Daphnia pulex: one gene and its partner. The protein of the gene in region 2 interacts with the protein of the main gene of each other region in a pairwise test. Links are inferred from orthologs where the notes say so. Each region holds a gene or a part of one and is shown on either strand. Other genes may lie near its edges. The genes, in order: EKC/KEOPS complex subunit Tprkb-like and EKC/KEOPS complex subunit TP53RK-like.

Region 1 (10,498 bases), on a different chromosome or scaffold from region 2:
ATCGTCTGTATACTTCAACTATTTATTACAATATCTGCTTTTGAACTTGTTTGTTTTGATATTTTTCTCGTGAGGACATCAAAAACAAAGGAAACTTGTACTATTCATCAGAAAGTGCCACATCGAGAAATCGCTTGAACAGCTACTAACATGATTTTTAGTAGCCAACAATGCGAAAGTTTTTCTCAGGGGAATCCGTGCACTTTGTCCTGTCGGTCTATACAAACCTAACATCACAGAAGGGGAATTTTTGGATCAAGCTAGAAAATGTTATGCAAAATTGCTAATCTCCTGCTACAACAGAAATTATCAAAAGACGTAATAATTTATCGGCGCGTCGATGAGAACAGGCATCGGAGCAGGGGTTCATTAAATGCACTTGAAGTTATCGTGCTGCCATAGGATGATGAATTCACCATAGAGATAAAAAGTGCATCCCTATCGCCTTAAAGAAAATGAATGACCTTAGCGTTGATGCGACTTGTTCAAATTAAAACGCTCTGCTGGTTTTTGGAAACACAAATGAAGAAGATGAGCAGTGATCGTAACTTGAAAGTGTGCCAGCTTTTTTCGTTCCCTGATGCTACAAAACTGATAGTGAAAACAGTAGAAGAAAGGGAAATCGTGCGGGTTGGTGTCTTTTTCAGACTCTTTCAGGTTCAAAGCGCGATTATTTATTCCTATTAAGCCGCGTTATTCAATTTCAATTTCTGTCGCAGAGTAATAAAAAACACAATTAGAGTGGCAAAGAGGAAATGACAAAAAAGTTAACGAGGACATTTCAGTAATTTGTACTTGGTACCGATTTAATGGGCAAACAGATAAATCGAAGAAAATCTCAACAAACGGAAAAAAAACTAGCTGTTATTGTTCACGATTTCCACCCTTGCAATACTTAGTTTTTCAGTCTACCCTCCTCCAATCATCCCGTCGTATAAAAATATTGTGATGCTTCTCAATTTTTTGTCTCGGATTATTTAGAATCGGAAGCTATTTTTCGGAAACAAATTTTGTAAATAGAATTTTACTGGAAATAGTGGAAATCGAGGAAAATAGACAAAATTGGAAAAATTTTGAAATTTTTGAACATTTTGAAAATTTTTGAAAATTTGGAAAGTTGCGAAAATTTGGGAAAATTGGGAAATATGAAGGGAAAATCGGGAAATTTTTTTTCCTTTCTGATGTTGCAGATTGTTCACGGTTAAAAATTATCTTGACTCCACTACACCCTATAAATCCAATCAATTAGGACGTTGAATCCTGTACACCCAGCAGCACACGTTATACCGACATGGTAAGCGGCAACTGGGCGGAAGATAAAACTTTAACGAGAAGTCCTTTCCGTAAACAACGGACAAATGAGGAGGAGCGATGTTCCTGGTGCATTTGTGTTCTCCCTCAGAACGTCAGAGCCTACGCCAATCGAGAGGGTTGGCGGTTGGCCACCCCAACAGACCCTAAAGGCAAAGAGGGGAAAATGTTGTTTTCGCGAGCGCTAGGTGGCTTATAGGATAAAGCCCAAAATGACCCAAAAACCAAGAAATTTGTAGGAATTTCAAAAATTTCAAACGTTAATATCTCGGCTTCTGAGCCGAGTATCGAAAAAACATGAAAATTTTGTGAAGAGGTGGGCTATCCCATCATTTTTAAATGATCAGAATATTTTTAGGTGCAGCAGTTGACGAGAAAACTGCAGCACAAAAACCGAAAAAAGTCCAATTTTCGGCTACCCCCCACAGTTTTTTGCTAATATCTCAAAAACGACTATAGCTAAGGGATTGTGGTTTTCACCAATCGACTTAGAAAAAAATTTTGAACTAAACCTATTAATTTGTTTATTTTTACAACCCCTAGCGATGATTTCCGCAAAATTAAATACCCCCAAAACGGTCTCTTTGAGTGGCGAATCGCTTGTTAAAAGTATTAAGTGTTAAAAAAATAATATGTAGCTACACACGAGTGTTAAATTAAAAATATTTTTGTAGTACTGTGCGAGTAATGTTTTCATCAAATGTAAAAATTTTATAGGTTCATGGTTTCCGAAAGGGCCCGCTGTGGGCCGTACTATTCGCGAGTTGTGTCGTCTGTTAAACAGTTTAATTTTTCCGAGGCTGTCTGGCACGTGTTCACGACCTGAAAGGCTGAAACTGTTGTATAGAGTTCCTCCTCACTTCCTATTAAGCAGCGTGATTTTGTTCAATATTTAAAAAAAAATCTGCCATGGAGAACGCCGAGGAAAATGAAGCTGGAGAGGTTCTAGCGAAGCCGAAAATCTTAACAGCGAGTGAACGCCTTGCAGCAAAAAAACGTTTTCGTACTCAGAGGAGACTGTCAACGATGAAAAACAAGGTGTTACGGAATGCTCAGTGGGCTACTTTGAAAAAAGAAAAACGAAAGGTGAAATCTTTTTACAGCATGTCAAGAATATTTTATTTAAACTACAATGAGTTCTTAAACAGATTAAAAAAGAAGGTCAAAAGCAGCGAAAAAAGGAAGCTGAAGCTTTAGGAGATAAGGCTCCTCCTAAACAGGTTCCACGTACAATTGAAAATACTAGGGAAGCTGATGTGACAACTGTTGATCAAGAAGATGAAGAAGTTACATTTGACATCACCCATGATGAATATGAAGCATATTTTTCAAAAACCTATGAGCCCAAGATTTTGATAACATCATCAGACAACCCTCACTCAGTAAGTAAATTTCATTTAAAAATTAACTTTAAGATTTATGTTAATAGATTGATGAACTGGTTCATTATTTGATGTTTTTAGAAAACTATTCATTTTATCCGTGAATTAACAAAGATTTTCCCAAAATCTGAATGTCAATGGAGAAAGCGTTCCAGTGTGAAAAAAATGATAGAGAGTGCTAAGGAAAAAGATTACACAGATGTTGTAGTGATAAATGAAGATAGACGAGTTCCAAGTAAGTTCTTTTCAATGTTAATAAAGTTTAGTTTATATTTAAATTATGCTAAATAGATGGAATGTTGGTATCACACTTACCTGATGGCCCAACTGCTTATTTCAAAATAAGCAATGTCAAATTAACAAAGGATATGAAGGTAATTTATATATTTATATAATATTTTTGCAATCTAATATTACTCATATTTATTATCTTTCCTAAAAGTACAAGAACATTATCAAGGAGTTTACCACTCATCGTCCCGAAGTCATTCTTAACAATTTCCAGACACGCCTTGGTCAAGCAGTGAGTCGAATGTTAGCTTCTTTGTTTCACTACGATCCCCAATTTAAAGGTCGTCGTGCGGTGACTTTCCACAACCAGCGAGACTACATATTTTTCAGGCACCACCGGTTGGGAAAGCTTAGACTCTTAATAATAACAAAATAATAATTACTACCTTTGTAATGATAGGTATGAATTCAAATCTCAGAAGAGAGCTGCCTTACGTGAATTGGGCCCTCGATTTACATTGCGACTGAAATGGTTGCAAAAAGGAACTTTCGACACAATTGAGGGTGACTATGAATGGATCATCGCTGGGAAACGGCACGAAATGGAGACGAGCAGGCGCAGATTCTTTCTTTAAAAGTCTGTTGTACGCTGTGTTAAAAGAAATAATACACATGCTGTATGTCATGTAATATGCCAGTTTCTAGTGGTTTTTCAAGTTAATTCCAATCATAAATGAAATGTACAATTCAGTTAGAAAGATTTTGGTCAGCAAACTTCTACAAGTATTGAATTTGTATATAATATTTATGAACAATTTTCTGAGTCCTAAAACCTCTAGTAATAGTCATTGATTGTTTTCGAAAGGATTTGAATTTTGGTAACTTCAATTTTTACCAACAAACTTATGGATGTTCTTCTGAATGCTGCTGCGGAGATCACGATTTTTTTTTTTTAGATCTATTTATTTATTCGTATTTATAATTGTTTTGGTATTTATTATTATTTTTTTTTTATTAAGTGAATTTTTAATTGCTGTGCTGACTGAAATTATCATTTTGTGCTGCGGCCTGCAGCATGGTGCCTGCAGCAGGCGTCGTGTTACCCGTAAATATATAACTGGAAATCATGACATGCTGCTTCAACGAACAAGACAATGCGTCGACTGCTTCCCGGCTTCTTTTTTGAGTTTTTGTGATTTTGTCCACACGTTTGACGTTCTGATCCAAAATTGTTTTTCTTAATATATTTCCTTTCAAAAAATTTAAACGGTTTGTTTACTACATAAATATTTGTCATCCCAAGTATGGCTTCCATCCCCGATGCTTCTTGGCAGCCACCTTTTGCAGTACTTCAAACCACGTAGGCTATACTTATTATTTTTTTATGAATACCACTGTGAAAGATAAGATGTTTGTATGTATATTTTAATATAAAATCTGCTTGTTTGGTTACCATCTCTAATATCTGACCTTGTAGGATGGGAGAAATTGCTATAGAATTGTACTGGAACCATGCCCCCAACACTTGTAGAAACTTTGCTGAACTCTGTCGTCGAAATTACTATGCAGGCACTAAATTTCATCGGATAATCCGAGATTTTATGATCCAAGGTAATTAATTGAAAACTTTTTTTTCATTGATTATGAATTAAGTTAAAAAATTTATAGGTGGTGATCCCACTGGTACTGGAAGAGGAGGAGCATCTATATATGGACGTAATTTTTCTGATGAATTACATGATGAACTGAAACACACAGGTAATAATTACAAATAAAATAAGTAATGGAAACAACATTCAGGGGCCTGAATGACACACATTCAAAGGAAATGACTTTTAACTTTGTGTGTGTTTAACAATAGGCCCTGGTATACTGTCCATGGCGAATTCAGGACCAAATACCAATGGATCTCAATTTTTCATAACACTAGGTATTTAAAAAAAAAAATTAATAAACTTTGAATTCCTACATCAAATGCAAATTTATTTTATATTTATTTTAGCTCCAACCCAATGGCTAGATGGCAAGCATTCCATTTTTGGGAGAATTTATTCAGGCATGTCTGTTGTGAAAAGGATTGGGTTTGTAGAAACAGATAAAGATGACAGACCAACTGATGATGTGAAAATCGTAAAATGTACAATCAAATATGAATGAATAATACATAATTGATCCTGCTTCTAAATCTAGTTTTACACAAAAAATATTAGTACTATGTAGCAATTTCTTTTGTCGAAATTCGGTTAATTATAGCATCCAATAAAGAAACAATTTTTGTTTCTTCTTCTTTGATTTTATAAATTTTCCTCAGCTCATTTTCATCACATGTTTCAAAATTGTCTTGGGTGGGTTCTGCCAATTCTCCTTTGACTTTAGAACAGACAAGTTCCATATCTTCTTCATTAAGTACCACACAAAGAAAATATGTATCTTTATCATTCATTCCAAATATTTTTAAGGAATCTGTAATCTGTTCCAAGCATTAAAAATAATTTCCATATTTAATAAAGTTTGCATGCTGTACAACTGCACATTAAAAAAATACCTTTTTTGTTGGGGACATGTTATAAACAATTTCAGAAAACACAGAATGTGTTTTAAGGGTATGACTTTGATGGCTCATCACAGCAAGTTGGGTGGCCACTAATACTTGAAAGGTGTCCAATACCTAGCAGTCATAAATTTATATTCTTCGTCAAACATAAAATTGAAAATTGAAATGCATACATATCTAGGATTAATTGCAGCGCAAGGAAAGCTAGCTTTCATAATCCTTTCTCGAATTTCACTTGCATTGGTTACATTTTTAAAAAGTAACAACTTGGGCTCGCATTCTTTAAATGCCCACATTTTATTATTGTTTGCTCAAATATGACTAAATAACGACTAAATATGGGAGTCACGAATCGGTAAATTTTTTTATTTCAAAACGTGTTCTGACTGCTGCTGGTTCCCACAGTTTATAGTCTGTCTGCTTCAACCGGCTGTATGTAACCTGGCTGTAACACTGCAAGACGTTGTCATGGCAATTATTTGCAGACTAAAATGCGACTTCAAATCTTCATTTCAGTAGACACTACATCGACTACAGTAAACACTAAACAACAAATTTAAGAACCTGTACGTTTGATGGTGGTCCTTTCTTATTTATTTATTGAAAAGTGATTTGAAAAATTCTTGATACAATTTTCTTTTTTGGTTTAGGTATAAATATTTCCACCTTTTTTAAAAATGAAGGGCTCCAATAACAGCTCTCTAGATAGGCAAGGTAAATGTCAAAATTAATTTACTCTTGATTTACTTATGATTCAAACTAATGAAAATAACTGTTTAGATAGGCATTCTCATCCAATTGGAGCTGCATTAACCTTCATTGTGATACTTTTGGGTCTTGGAGTACCAGTATGGTGGAATACCACTACTGTACAAAGAGCATCTTTACCACTGGAAGAACTGTCCACTATGGCTAAAGTGTCTGGGAGTGAACAAAGTATCCCTATTTTATTAAAAGGCATCAATGATGCTGAAATAATGGCAAAGAAACTGCAAAGTGCACTAGTTCAGTCCAAGGACCCATGTAAGTAACTAAAACAATATAATAAATGTTTAGATTTGAAGATTATGTTAACAATTTTCAAAATTTTTTTAGTAACTTATAACTTCAGTATTGTTCCATATAAATTCAGCCCTGAAGAAGTAAAAATTTTGTTGTCACAAAAGTCAGTTGATGCCATAGACATGTACTTTGAGGAACTATCTGAATCAGAGTTTATTAACATATTATCAATTGTTGAAGTACCATCTAATTATTTGCCATCTGGGAAAGTGTGTGTAGGAAGGCATAACTTTCTGTACTTCTCGGAAGAAACAGGTGTGGAATTAAAAGATTTCATTCACTTATAAATCAAAATTTTTAAATTGATAAATTTTTCCTTTTTTTTTGTTAGATTTTGATTCCCTTGGCCACATTATACGTTCAATTTTGGCACTTCACGATTCAGACCGAAATTCCGATGCGCACCTTCCCATTTCTAATCATTATAATGTTCTTCTTACTTTGGCGACCGCAAATGCAACCCAAGAATATTCTAGTATAGTATCTTTATATGATGGTAAGAATTTTTAAAAAATTTCACAGCTTTAGGCGTACATAAAATTGCATTTTCCCTTTTTTTTGTTAGAAAATTTTGCTGCATTTTCTAAAAAATTTCGGCACGTTGCTGACCTTTCAATTTCATCCCAAATGATTTATCTTGGAAACGGCCATATTGATGCCAATCATGATACTGAACAAAAAATTTTCTCTTTAAATGAAGAAAAAGTGGTATCTCTTATTAATATTCTCGAACCGCGACTAGGTATATGAACGAAGCCTTAAGATACTAAAAGAAAATAGAGTTTAAATGGAATTTCGTGGATAAATAGGAAGTCAGTTGTCGTCGGATCCCACTTTTCATTGGGTGCTTTATGTTCCCCACATAAATCAGTCACCAATGTATATTTTCAAAGGATCCTTGCCAGTTGTGACCAATTCAGTCCTTAGTCCACGGTGGAATGGAGGAGGTTTACAAATTGTCAATGAATTAGATCATTCCTTTGCTGGACTTGCTCTATGCCAGTTAAGAAATGCTCTCGGAATTTTCTCTCTACAGGTGAATATAAATTTGAAATGATAATATTCCTATTTGATCCTGTTTTTGAGCTAATGTTTACTTGCAATTACTATTGCATAATAAAGAATGCAGATACTTCTTACATCTCCTTGAATTATGATGAATCTGGTGTTCACGCGTGGGAGCTGTATTTGTTGACACGGCGACGTACGGTACAATTTTTAAATCAAGCTACCATTACTCTAAAGGTAAACGTGAATTAAAAATTTAAAATACTATACATTCGATGAAGCATGTAACAATTATTTTATTTTTTTTTTCAATCGCTTTAGTCTCTATCACAACTATTAAAACAGATCGGAAACATCGTTGTTAGTGAAGAAATAAGAGATTTGATTGTTGCTTCCGTAAAGATGGGGGACGATTCCAGAATTGCTTTGAAAAATGACGATTTGCAACAAGCGTACCGAGATGCCAAAGTATCTAATTCATGTGCCGAAAAGGCTTTCTTCGATCCCTCTCTTTTGGCATTGTTATACTTTCCTGAAGACCAAAAGTAAGTGATTTAGGTGCACTTAAAACTTTCATTTATCTTCTTTTTGTCTTCTAACTTTAAAATGTATTTTTGTTGTTCAACTCGTTTTAACATCGTTTTATTGTTGTGTTCCAGGTATGCGATTTACATCCCACTTTTTCTTCCCATAGGCATTCCTGTTCTCTTATCGTTGAGATCAGTCTACAAACATTTTCTTAAGCGGTAAAATTTAATTGAATTAATATCATTTGCAATTGAGTTGTGCAGAAATAAATGCAAAGTTTTACTGTATAAATGAAAAAATGAGTAATGAACTTATGATTTCAACCCCTAATTTGAATTAATAATATGAATAGTTTGTAGAAAATTGACAGCATTAATATTCTGCGACAATCGAGAATGGATATTATCGGAGCATACGTAAAGCGCAAAAATGAATTTCTTGATTCCTATAGGCCTATACAAACCTTTGATAACTAAACCCTCTAAGTCAGTAAGACTGCACATCCATTTTTACGTTATTACTATTAAAATGATAAAATCTTTGAAATTTTGTTGAAATCGCTGCCGAAATTTCTTCTATATAGTTGCAATTTCATTGTGCTATTGTTATTGATTGTTATTATTTATTTTCTTTAATCATAGCGTTATTTATTTAAACTTTTACCATTCCAGAAGACGGTGTATTCCATAACAGGGGAAAATGTTACAAGCGTTAAATTTACGCAGAAACTTGAAGTGCTATTTTCGGGCTAACATAAAATATCTAAATGTTGTCTTGTTGTTAAAAGATTAATCAGCAATCAGGATATTGCTTTAACTGATAGCACTGTAACTCAGTTAAGTTATTCTCTTGAACTTCTAGGCCAGTCTGATTTCCGTCATCATCTACACAAAAACAAACCCCCCCTCGGCATTGGATTGGTCGATAGTTCCCGTTGCTGCAACAGATTGGTTTGGCTAATTTTTGATTGGTAAGCCAAAATCTTGTTCGCGCACATTCTATTGCAAAAAAATAACATTGTTTTTTGTGTAGTATATCTTGCATCTTTTAAATTAACATACTGCAATTCATAGAACTGTCATCCGGTTTGTTGATTTCGAAATTTTCAATTTTTTCCCCATAAGGATCTGCACAGTAAAGTCTGAAATTCAAAATTCGTTGTGATTAAGAAATTAAATTTGACTAATTTCACGTTCATTGCCAGTCTAAAGATTCGACGAACACATCTCGCAAAAGTTAACAAATTTTCTCATGCGTTTTGTTACGAAAATACTCGTGGTTTCATGAAAATAAAATTCAGAAAGTAATAAACCGAGTTACTGGTCTGGTGGCCACTCTTTTGTCTTTTCAAGTAAGCCGAAGAGAAAAGAAGAGGTTTGGCAATACATACGTGGATTCTGTCTCAAGAATCGATTGGTAGAATCCATCTGGCGAACAATCCGGTTGTTCCAGTCCAAGTACTGTGATATTCTGGCGGATGTAACTATTCCCAAAAAATTTAGTCTTTAACCTTTTCATTTCGCAAGGCCGGTAGTAATCAGCTGAATGCACGTCAGTGTTATCTGTTCAGAATAGAGATGAGCATAGGTAAATTCGCGAGTACAAATCGCAAAAAGTATTTCTTGAAGATGAAACAATTACAGCACGGTAACTCCGTAATTGCAGTAATGGGTTGGATAGAAGAAGTGAGGGTTTGGTTGGTAGAACTGATGCAAAAACAGGCTTGATTTACACACTGCAGTGTATCATAGTTGCCATTTGGTAGGCAGTGAGGAAACTGTACCGATTGTAGCGAACCCGCCAGTGCCAGTTGATAAGCTCTGGAACATTCTAAAAGTTTCATCGGAATTTATTATTTATTTAGTTATTTTTTGTTTCGTTTTTTTGGGATGGACACATACCACAATTCATGGCTGCGTCAGTTGCAGCATAACTAGGCGGGGATTCCCCAAAAATCCGATTGTTGTTGATATCGACACAATAACAGCTGTAAAAATTGCAATTCAAATTTTAAAAAAAAAAAATAATAATTAATAAACAGAATTTGGACACGGTACTGTACCTGCCACCTGGTTGGCACTTTCTTGCAATAAAGTCACCATTGTCGTCACATCTGGGACGTGTCTCATACATTCCTAGTGAACCACTTAATTTCCGAACTTCATATTCATCTTGAGCTTCGAAGCATTTCGTGTTCACTAAATTCAAAATTTGGGTAATTCATTACTGAAAGCACACAGTGATCTTATTTCGAAGCCAACATTTTTACTAACTTTTTACACATATGTAGTCCGATTTCGAATTCTTAGACGCGGCTGCACAAGTAAGACCTGGGCCACATTCTTGGTTATTCATGTTAAGACTACAAGGCTCATTTTCCCCTACACAATAGCGGGAAAAAAAATATATGCGGGATTTCATT
Region 2 (10,293 bases):
AAGATGCAACAATCCCCAACGAAGTGTAAACAGCGAAAAGTAGCTCGTAGAGAAGTCGCGGAGCAAAAATTTTCCAAACCATCAGGTGGCGGCGGTGTAATGCTGCAGCGCCCATACAGCCAAACAACTAAATATAAAATTAAGTAGTATTAGAACTTTCATTTAATCTTCGTTTTCCTACTCACGCGCACAGCATGGAAAAACAAAAAGTGTAGCCAGCCATTAACTAATAACATTTGCGAGTCTTTGTTCTTTCGTGTCACGTTCGAAAGTGACACGATCGGGACGGACATGGCGTGTAGGAGCATAGAAAACGCCGTGCTATAACTGACAAACAAAACTGGCAGCACGTTAGCCCATTCACTTTGGCTATCGGAGTGGGATAAACCCACAAAAGCAGTTTCCCTTTAACCCAAAAAATAATTAAATAGGTGGAAAAAGTTACTATAATTGATATTATATAATATTTTTACCATGGAATGTTAGCGAGGCTAGTATGATGTCCACCAGCAAAGAAACCATGCAATGACAAAAGTCCATAAAGAGGCCACATCTCTCCGCAATTACTTTCTCCGGTGAAGAGTTGAGAGAATAGTACAAGATTGGCCAGTGCCAGAATAATACCTGGGGCCAGGCCATCACCAGCTAACAAAATGGCCAGCGTTGACAGTAGAATGACCAGATGAGATATCTTTTTGCGATAGTTTGACATCTTACCCAGTTCATTATCGAATAAAAACGTATAAATATCATGGCAAAGTTTTACGATAAACACAATGTAGAACAATCTTGGAAGGTACACGAGTCCAATTGTGTCACTGTCGGTCAGAAAACACGCACTTTGTAAAATCCAATAGCACCAGACGATCATGACGATAAATAGGTTTTTGCGGTCAAACGGAAGGTATCGTTTGTAGAGTAGATAAAAAGCAATGCAGGACACTAAAGCTGTAGACACTCTTGCAAAGACTATCCAGTTAGTTCCAGAAAGACTATTGAGGCTCCTGTGAAGGCTGTGGGCTTCACAAGTAGGAAACTGTTCTTCACGGCAGCGAAAAAAAGCCAATCCTAATCGAGTTGTCAAACTCAATGCAATCCGAAGTATCCACTGACGATTTTTCGTTTGGCGTCTGAAGAACATCGGAATCCAGATGAATGATTGTGCCAGGTAGTGAACGACGTAGGGTTCTTCAACAACGAAACTGTTTGAAGTGTAGGAAGCAGCCATGACAAATGGGGCGAGATAAGCAAATTTAAACAACTGCTGAAGTCGAATCTTCCGCATAGTCCCAACCAAATAAACGAACACTGGTGTTAAACTTAATCCAAGAGTCAACACAGAAGACCAACTGTGCACTAAGATGGAGAGGAAGGCTCCAATGATACCGAAATATTTGACAGGTTTCATCCAATTCAATTCGGATTCGATGAGAAAATTCGCATGTAGAAACAGTGAGCAAGTAAAAATTGTCAATCCAATGGAAATGGACGTTAGATCGAAACGAGCCCACATGGAACGGCATATTTCTTTAGCTTCAGTGAGGAAAATCTGCGCTGCTTGAATGAATTCTTCGAGTTTTTCGTCCGGAGCGCAACAACTTGAATCGGAGGTACACGAATTGGAACACTGTTTCATTTGTAACCGTTCGAAAAGATGGACAGCACGGTCAAACTGACTGCTGAGATGTTCGAATTCTTTCTTCGGAAATGACGAATCACGGCTATAGGTTTCCAAATAACGCCAGATTTGCTTGGTATTCAAATAAAGAGCTTCGGAGAAATATGACTGTGCTATTTTCATAATGTGCTCTTCACTGGGGTGAGTTTCTCTCCACAGCTGCTCGGGAAAAACAAGGTCTAATATTACAGAACCTAAATTTGAATACGGAATTGGTATGCCCAGCAGTACTGACAGGGTTGGTACAAGATCCACTTGGTTGATTGATGTTTTCCTGGAGGTGTTGAATTTGATATTCCATCCTGGGCTGTATGCAAAAAAACCGGCGTTGACTTCATCTGGACTGTCACCACCGTGATCACCGCTTCGTGTCATTCCGTGGTCACCCATGACTAGGAGTAGTGTTTGAGGATTCATGTTGCTTACGATTTTTTCGATTAAAGAGTTCATCTCCTTTAACTTGAGGGGCATGACAGGATGCTCTGGACCGTAACGGTGACCAGTGTGGTCAACTCCTAGACAGTGGGCAATCAGTAAATTCCAATCGGGTTTCATCATTTCTGGCACCAAGTGTTGTTCCACTCCTCGGTCAACAGTATGAATGTCCCACACGTCAAAGGATGGGAAAGGAAATGCACGTTGAAAAGACCTTGGGAACAACTGCAACCAAGTGTCGTCACCCATAAATGTAATATTTAATCCTGACGAAGTAATCTGACTGAGGATATTGTCTTCTTTGAGCTCATCACTTGCAAAATTGCTCCCAACATCAATAAAAGTAGGTAAAGATCCAGTGGTAATGCCCTTTAAACGTTGCATTGTAGAAGTGGGAGGATCTGCAACAAACTGTACACAAAATTAGATTAGAACTCATTCATCTATCCCCTAATGCTTATTTTGTAAACATACCTGATACAGCACACCATGATTATCCTTCAATAACTTTTCCACAACAGGAAGATTATTTTGGTAGATTGGTATACTACTCTTGTTTGTGGAATTGTTGTAAACAAGAAAGTCATAGCGAAGAGCATCAATGATAAGAATGATGATTTTCTCGTATTTTGATTCCAAACAACAAGAAACACCGTCAAACGCTGCGGACTTTAGATGAATTTCTCGGCGAGTTAACAAAAACCCTTGAAGAAAGTACATCACCCCATTTGCATACAACAAAATGAGCCAGGAAAAAACAAGCAAATTTCTTTTTTTCATTTTAGATTTGAATACTTTTCTTTTTTAAAATATAGCATGCAAAAATTGCACATATATTGTAGACTAAATCATTTTTCTTCAGTGAACTTTGCAACTTTCGTGATTTCGTCTCTATCGTTTCAAATTTACCTGCAGACGAAACTATCAGAAATGTGTAAACATGAGTGCTAAACAACATCCCTACTTCACGCTCTTGCAAATTAAACGTTCTTTCTTTGGTTCTTTTAAAAAATATTGAAAAGAATTTACTTCCGGGATTTTAAAAGGTCGATTAATATTTAAAAAAAGGAATTCGAATAATATCATGGAAACGCAATCAATTCAACGTTGGCCTAGGGGTCACTGGCTGCATGACTCAATTTTCAAGGCTTCTACATCTACAATTTAAAATTCGTAGACGATTGCAGACGATTTGAGAAACGCGTACGCATGCACTCTTGACCCAACTGCACTAAAAGCACGAGTTTTGTTTTATAGGCTGATGAAATTTCGAAAATGAATGTCGCTTCATTACCGGGGACGGCGACTCTTCTTGAAGATTTAGACAGTAAATTTTTCTGAATTGAACCATGTAGATGTCATGAACTAATGCTTGATTATTTTTAGAAAAGGTTATAGTCGTTCTACGTGATGGCCGAACTTTGATAGGATACCTCCGTAGTGTTGATCAATTTGCTAACTTGGTTTTGCATCGAACTATTGAGAGGATTCATGTTGGTAAAGAGTATGGTGACATTCCACGAGGAGTATTTATTGTCAGAGGAGAAAATGTTGCTCTTTTGGGAGAAATCGTAATGTTAAATTTTGACAGATTGTGATTGCAGACATTATAACAGTCCCTTTTCTGAATTCAGGATTTGGAGAAAGAAGAAAGAATCCCCCTTAAGCAAGTTGGTGTAGAGGAGATCCTTGAAGCCCAAAGGTTGGAGCAAGATGAGAAGCAAGCAAAGGAGAAAATTAGATTGAAGAGACTTAAAGAACTAGGACTTCAGTCAACTGTTGCAGATTACACTCATGATGATGCTTTTTAGTTTTGATGCTTGCTGTGAAATTGTTTTGATTCGTGACAGGAAAGAACATAAACGATTCCTTTTGTATAGTTTTGGTTAACTGAATTTAAAATTCATTGTAAAATTAACTTCTTTTTCTTGAAAACTCTAATGAGATTAATTAGCCAATATACAAAACTATCAGTATAAAACTAGTTCCTGTCGACATTTTAATTTTCAGGTGTGATAAATAAGCCAAGTACTAGCATTCATGATTGGCTACTGAATGTAAAATTTCGTAAGCTCCTCCCACTTGAAATTGACAGCTCTTGTCAGTGTTGTCATTCGGATAAAAGTCCATACACTTGTTTTGGCTGATTGAGAAGATATTGCTATATATATATTGCTATATCTGTTGTTATCGTTATGATACTGAAAAGTGCTGGCCTGCTAACTAGACGCTTTCTTTTTACTACGACGACATTGAAAATGAGTTCGACCGCCAAAAAATTAGATGGAAGAATTGCAATTGTTACTGCGTCAACGGATGGGTGAGTATAATAACAATAACATCTATAACCTTTTATCAGCGTTAATCTGAATTACCATTTTTGTTTTTAGAATTGGGTTTGCTGTCGCCAAGCGACTAGCTTCAGACGGAGCACAAGTTGTTGTAAGCAGTAGAAAACAGAAAAATGTTGATGCTGCTGTAGCAAAACTTAAAACAGAAGGACTAACTGTTACTGGCATGGTTTGCCATGTTGGATTGAAAGAAGATAGGGAAAAACTGATAGAAGATGTACTTTGAAATAAGTTAAAAGTTGTTATCACATTTCATTCATTTATGTAATTATTTTCCTATTTATACAGACTGTTTCTAAGTTTGGAGGATTGGATATTTTGATAAGTAATGCTGCAGTAAATCCTGTATTTGGACCAGTATTGAGTGTAAGTTAAATCAGGTTTATACACAACTTAGCAACTAAGTATAAACTTAATTACTCTTTTTAAACAGTGCCCTGAAGATGCCTGGGATAAAATTTTTGATATTAATGTCAAAACAGCATTTTTACTTGCCAAATCTGCTGTTCCACATATGGAAAAGAGAGGGAGAGGTTCTATAATATTTATTTCTTCAATTGCTGGGTTTCAACCATTTTCTGTAAACAGCATATCTTATTATCATTGATTGGATTTTTACTAATACCAAAATTTATTTGTGATATCTTACCTTCAAAGGCTCTAGGAGCTTACTCTGTAAGTAAAACAGCTCTACTGGGATTAACAAAGGTGCTGGCCCAAGAAGTAGGACATAGTGGCATTCGCGTGAATTGCATTGCTCCTGGCGTAATCCAAACAAAATTCAGCGCAATGGTATCATTACCACATTAAATAATTCCTTACGAAAGCGGTGTTATAGCTAACTATTTACATTTTTTCCCGATAGTTGGTAGACAATGACGATGTGCGCAACAAAGTCCTGGAAGGCATACCCCTGCAAAGGTACGATATTTTGCCTGTACATTTTTAGCTATATTCAATTCATTTACAAGAGTTAACAAAATTCAGGATTGGACAACCAGACGACATGGGTGGATTGGCTTCGTTTTTATGCTCAGATGATGCTTCCTTTATAACTGGAGAAAATATTGTTGCTGCTGGTGGAGCTCAGTCTAGGCTGTAAAATATAGAATGTGATGACACAATTTGGGCTCAAAATTTATCAAATTAATGCAGAGATTTATTATAATAAGTAACAAATACAAAACATTAATTCTGATCCTGTGGCATTTTATTTCGAGATCTCGTCGTTTATCCAGCCATCGAACGCTTTCTACCACGAAGACGAATTTCATCAAGTTTTTTTAGAGTTTCTTTTCCATCTTTCTTATTTGTCTTTGCATAATACTTAAGAATTATTTCAAATAAATTTTCAGAGTTAGGGTGAGTACTTAGCATAGCTCTTTCAAGAACATACAGATCAACTCCCTTATCTTCTGGAGAATGGTCAATGAAGCTGAGACCAAAATCAATTACTGTGATTTTAGAAATATCACCACCTCGAATCAGCATATTAGAAGTAGTTAAATCCCCATGGATGATGTTCTGGGAATGCAACAAACCAATTGTACTTCCAATTGTAGAAACCAATGTCTCAAGACTATTTTGATTCACAGGATCCTTAATGAAGTCTTTAACTGTCACACCATCAGTAATGTGCTCCATCATTATATGATTTAGCTCCACGTTAACACAATACACAGTTGGAGCATGGACACCTAATCAAACAATTAGTTGTGATGATTACTATGATATTACTTAATAGAAAACTATAGTTAATTCTTTAAAACATTACCTGCTAGGCGACAACGAACAAGTGAGCGGACTTCGCTTTTTAGTCTTTGAGTTGAAATTTCCCGGTCAAGATGTGGGTGTCTGTAACGCTTCACAAACCTTTCCTTGATAATGCACGGTTTTCCATGAAAAGTGCCACTATATATTTTGGCTTCGGACCCCTGCTTAATCAAGGCGAAATTTCTCTCCTTCATATTCATTTCACAAGATTCAAATTGCTTGCTCTGTTACCACGAACCATGCATGATCCTACAAGCAGTAGCAGACTACGTTTTAATGTTTTTGTCGAACATACATATAGATAAGCAATCCGTCTGTCGACTGCGGTCAGTGCCATCTGGTGTTGACACGCTACCTGGTGGCAATGAATATTTTTTCCATTAAATAATACGCACTTCTTTTCACACAAATTTGTTAAAATAGGATAAAGCAAGGGATTTTACCAATTCCTTTTTTTGCTCCCTCTACCCGCTCATTTTATCATTAATATCTTTCAATATCTTCATCGATTTTGTTTGGTCTAACTAACAGAATTTATTCAGATTTCAGAAGCAGCCAAGATAATCGAATTCGTCTGATAATTCGAAACTTCATACATTGTTTACACATTAATGTGGAATTATGACATCTTTAACTTACCAAAGATCCCAAAAGACACGAGTTATTAAATTACATTAAGGATTTAGGGAGCTACAGTGTTTTTAACGAAAACCAATTTGCAAACCCGAATTGTGAAATCTATAAGGTTTCAGAACAGAACAATCATATCCTAACTGGAAATAAGAAAGAATTTATTTCAAGTAACCAGAAGGAGAGAATGGTTATGATTTAAACTAAAAATACCGTTACAATCACACGTCTCGGTTTCTGAGTTTGCGCGACTTTCAAAATACTTGTTCAAAACACGGGGAGAAAATGATACCAATAGTACCTCTGCTCAACAACGACCAAAGCTTGTTGGTTTCGAGACATCAACATCGTAAATCGCATCGAAAATTTAGAATACTTTTATACAACAAATCAATAAGGTACGAATCCTTCAGCTAAACGGATGGCGATGTAACGTCGTTATGTACATAAAACAAAAGCAGTGATCTTCCAGGTTGAGAACATAATATGAATGAATGACATTCGAAACGATTTAGAAATGCCATCGAATGAAAAAGATAGGAAGGACAAGAAGCGAGTAAAATATACGCATAGATTCTGGGTGCACAATTACGAAAGAAGTTGAATACTAAACAACGTTTCCGGAGAAGAGCACGCATTTGCTCGAAGTCGTAGAGGAAGGCAAAAATAAAGTAGAAAAGGAAGAGATTTTACCGTTTTCCGGACATTAGTGGTTGGGATTTTGTACGACAACGAGTGACACGATGATTGGAATTCGCTTCAAAAGATAAATCTTCCAGCCCTTTACGTCTTAATTCTTTGCATTCATCGTTTAACAAGCGAAATAATTCCTGTCTTTTCCGTGGAAGTCTACTCTCTGGAGTTAGTGATCCAAACGAACTTGCTCGTGAAAACATGTCGTTATCTGGTCCTCCTACATCAACCTCGATAACCGAAGAATAATTTTCGCTGCCACGGATTAATTTCGCTTGAGGTGCCAAACAATTCGATGACGAGGATTGATCCAATAAACGAGCTTTTTTGCTAGGACCATCAGATAGTGAATCCTCTTCGTCAGAACTATGAAAATCGGGTTCTTTTTCTCTTTTTCGTCGAGTATTCCGCTGGTTTGAGAAAAGAAGGCCACTTAATCCTTTGTGTTTCAGTTCCTCGCACTCGTCACTGAGGGGTGGAGAAAATTCCTTTTTAGGGCTGACGGAACTTCTCGGCAATGGAGAGAGCTGAAGTGGATCTGTTACATCGCTTGTAGTTTGAATCGTCTTGATTTGTGTTGGTGGACTGCTAGAGTCACTGTTTGACGTTGGTGATTTTTTCTCCTTTTTTTGAATTTTCAACAGAGACTGCTTCATCTGTTCCCTTTTCTCAGCAGGAAGCTTCGCTAGTTTCAATGGTGTTACAATGGGTAGGGACGAATCAGCTGAACAAACATCAAGTGCACCACTCCTAGCAAGATCTTTTTTTATAGCTTGCTGGTGGTGGCCCATGAAGGTCAAAACTGGTAGGGGCGCGGTAGCTGCTGATGCCAGCCACTGAGCAACGCTTCGTGATCGGTTGTTATTCTTTTCAGATGCCGTTTCATTCGGCCGTGAATTTGGAAGGTGGCACTGAGGTCCACTAGACGTTTTCTTAATTTTGGTGATAGAGATACCAGGTGGTAAGACAAGAGAATTAGACAGCACATCTTTGCTGCCTTGTCGCTGGTCGCCATCGTCGACTTCGTCTTCTGAAGAACAAAGATCGACTATATCTGTAATACTACCGCTCGAAGTCATTTGAGTACGTGGTGAGGCAGCAACCGATCTTGGCGAGGAGACGGAAGGCATTTGGATTATGACTGGATCAACGGAACGCGTCTTCGAATGTCTGTTAATAACTGGAATCAGATCAGGCAATATGAACTGGTTTTTCGTGGGCTTGGGTTTGACAGGTTGCACAGGTTGCATAGACCAAGTGCCGGTGATCAGAGGAAGAAGCCCTGGTGGAGCTCTTGCTTGAGATTTCCCGGAAATATGGTTTCTTGATACTTGGCGAATTGTTGATGATGGTGAGGCAGCTTGTTGGTTTCGAAGAAACGTTTTTTGCGAATCAACAGGAGCCAAGCTGATGGTGCAACTAGCAGGTAAATTTGCAATGCTTCGCTGTAGCCACGGCTGTAGTAAATGTGGCGGATGCTTTGGTTTAGGTTTCGGACGAGTCCACATATCTATCTCTTCCGGTTTTAACCTAACCATCACCACATGAATACCTTGACATCGTTGAAGTAACTGACGGGCGCGTTTATTCAATCCTTCAATAAAAATTAATTGTTAATACCAAACACATGGAATATTAGTTCAAGTAGTTTACCCGTCGCGATAGTCTCCATGCGCTCTCTTCGGTCTGCTTTATTGAAGCTGTAAGAATGCGCCCACTCGTCTTTTCTTTTAAACACAACTGGACGAAAGCGATTAGAGGTAGTTGCTGATGGGATAGGTGGTTGCGTGTGTTCTCCTGTAAGAGGGTCTGATCGGAGCAATATTGGTTTTGCTATACAAAAACGCTCGTATCGATTGATCAAGAGTTCTGAAGCTGTTGGTGTTAGTCTAATTGCCTTGAAGAAGCTTTGTCCAAGATTTGACGAAAAGGGAATTGTCGTAAATCTGTAATAAAATAATGATTGTTGCATTTTCTTCATCAAAGGTTATCAGATAAAATATTAAGGATTCACCTCTTATCACTGAGTGTACAAGTCCTTCTTACAACCGGACGAATTTTAGCAGGAGTAACATTAGGCGGTGGTAAAGTTTGACTACGACTGGACAAGGACAAATACCACAGAAATTGTGCCTAAGAGACAGAAAGGTAAAAAATTTAAATATCTAACAAAAGTTAATAGTAAAATAAAAATGTTTACTTCATCCATGTCCCGTGTTTCTAGTTCAGTGAAAGTGTTAATGTTATTGGATTGGGCTTCCAAAGCTTTATCAGCCATACATTTTGCTTCATGGGCCTTCAATATTTGAGAATATGTTCAAGAATAAGTTACCGAGACAAATCATAATGCATAGAGTACCTTAATGGCCGAAAGTGAGCTGAAATCTGCACCACAATAATCACACAAATAGATGTCATTAATTGGTGGTTCAACCATTTTTGCTGCAGTTGGAGCTTCTATTTCCATTGTGTTTGAGGCTCCAGCATTTAGCTTTGTTGGACTAGTCGGAGAGTTTAATCGGGGAAGTAACATAGGGCGAGAGGCACTAGATTGCTGTCTGAAACCCTTGTCATAATTCTAAAAAGAACGAAGTTGTTAACACAAACACTCGGTCCCATTCATTAACAAAGCTCACCATATTTTCATTCTGAAAAGTAACCAGTAGCTTTCCATTTGTGCTATCATACATTGAAGTTGTTCCATCCCAATTGTCTTCAAACTTGTAACCTCCA

Evidence for each region.
Region 1: the proteins of EKC/KEOPS complex subunit TP53RK-like (region 2) and EKC/KEOPS complex subunit Tprkb-like interact in binary tests that used the Homo sapiens proteins (3 or more experiments, as listed by UniProt). The link is inferred for Daphnia pulex from reciprocal best matches to the Homo sapiens genes TP53RK and TPRKB.

What each region holds. Positions count from the first base shown.
Region 1 is NC_060026.1:5,613,425-5,623,922, reverse strand, and holds EKC/KEOPS complex subunit Tprkb-like, read right to left. Parts: upstream 5,912-10,498; 5' UTR 5,775-5,911; coding exon 5,652-5,774; intron 5,593-5,651; coding exon 5,470-5,592; intron 5,395-5,469; coding exon 5,137-5,394; 3' UTR 5,082-5,136; coding exon of another isoform or gene 4,927-5,081; 3' UTR 4,890-4,926; downstream 1-4,889. Other genes in the region: ribosome production factor 1-like, read left to right, coding at 2,221-2,397, 2,460-2,693, 2,775-2,928, 2,985-3,067, 3,136-3,323, 3,385-3,559; peptidyl-prolyl cis-trans isomerase-like 1, read left to right, coding at 4,229-4,284, 4,402-4,535, 4,593-4,682, 4,786-4,854, 4,927-5,081; GPI transamidase component PIG-S-like, read left to right, coding at 6,156-6,192, 6,259-6,501, 6,574-6,795, 6,872-7,036, 7,106-7,282, 7,350-7,576, 7,663-7,785, 7,870-8,093 and 1 more; uncharacterized protein LOC124205085, read right to left, coding at 8,869-9,074, 9,138-9,217, 9,467-9,638, 9,718-9,906, 9,978-10,063, 10,139-10,274, 10,350-10,457. UniProt on the Homo sapiens protein: Component of the EKC/KEOPS complex that is required for the formation of a threonylcarbamoyl group on adenosine at position 37 (t(6)A37) in tRNAs that read codons beginning with adenine.
Region 2 is NC_060017.1:7,079,301-7,089,593, reverse strand, and holds EKC/KEOPS complex subunit TP53RK-like, read right to left. Parts: upstream 6,561-10,293; 5' UTR 6,438-6,560; coding exon 6,239-6,437; intron 6,162-6,238; coding exon 5,695-6,161; 3' UTR 5,653-5,694; downstream 1-5,652. Other genes in the region: GPI ethanolamine phosphate transferase 3-like, read right to left, coding at 1-127, 186-405, 474-2,524, 2,588-2,893; U6 snRNA-associated Sm-like protein LSm1, read left to right, coding at 3,389-3,440, 3,500-3,684, 3,748-3,924; dehydrogenase/reductase SDR family member 4-like, read left to right, coding at 4,309-4,433, 4,504-4,681, 4,753-4,830, 4,898-5,044, 5,122-5,256, 5,330-5,385, 5,452-5,566; uncharacterized protein LOC124196883, read right to left, coding at 7,557-9,154, 9,214-9,506, 9,575-9,693, 9,761-9,856, 9,920-10,138, 10,197-10,293.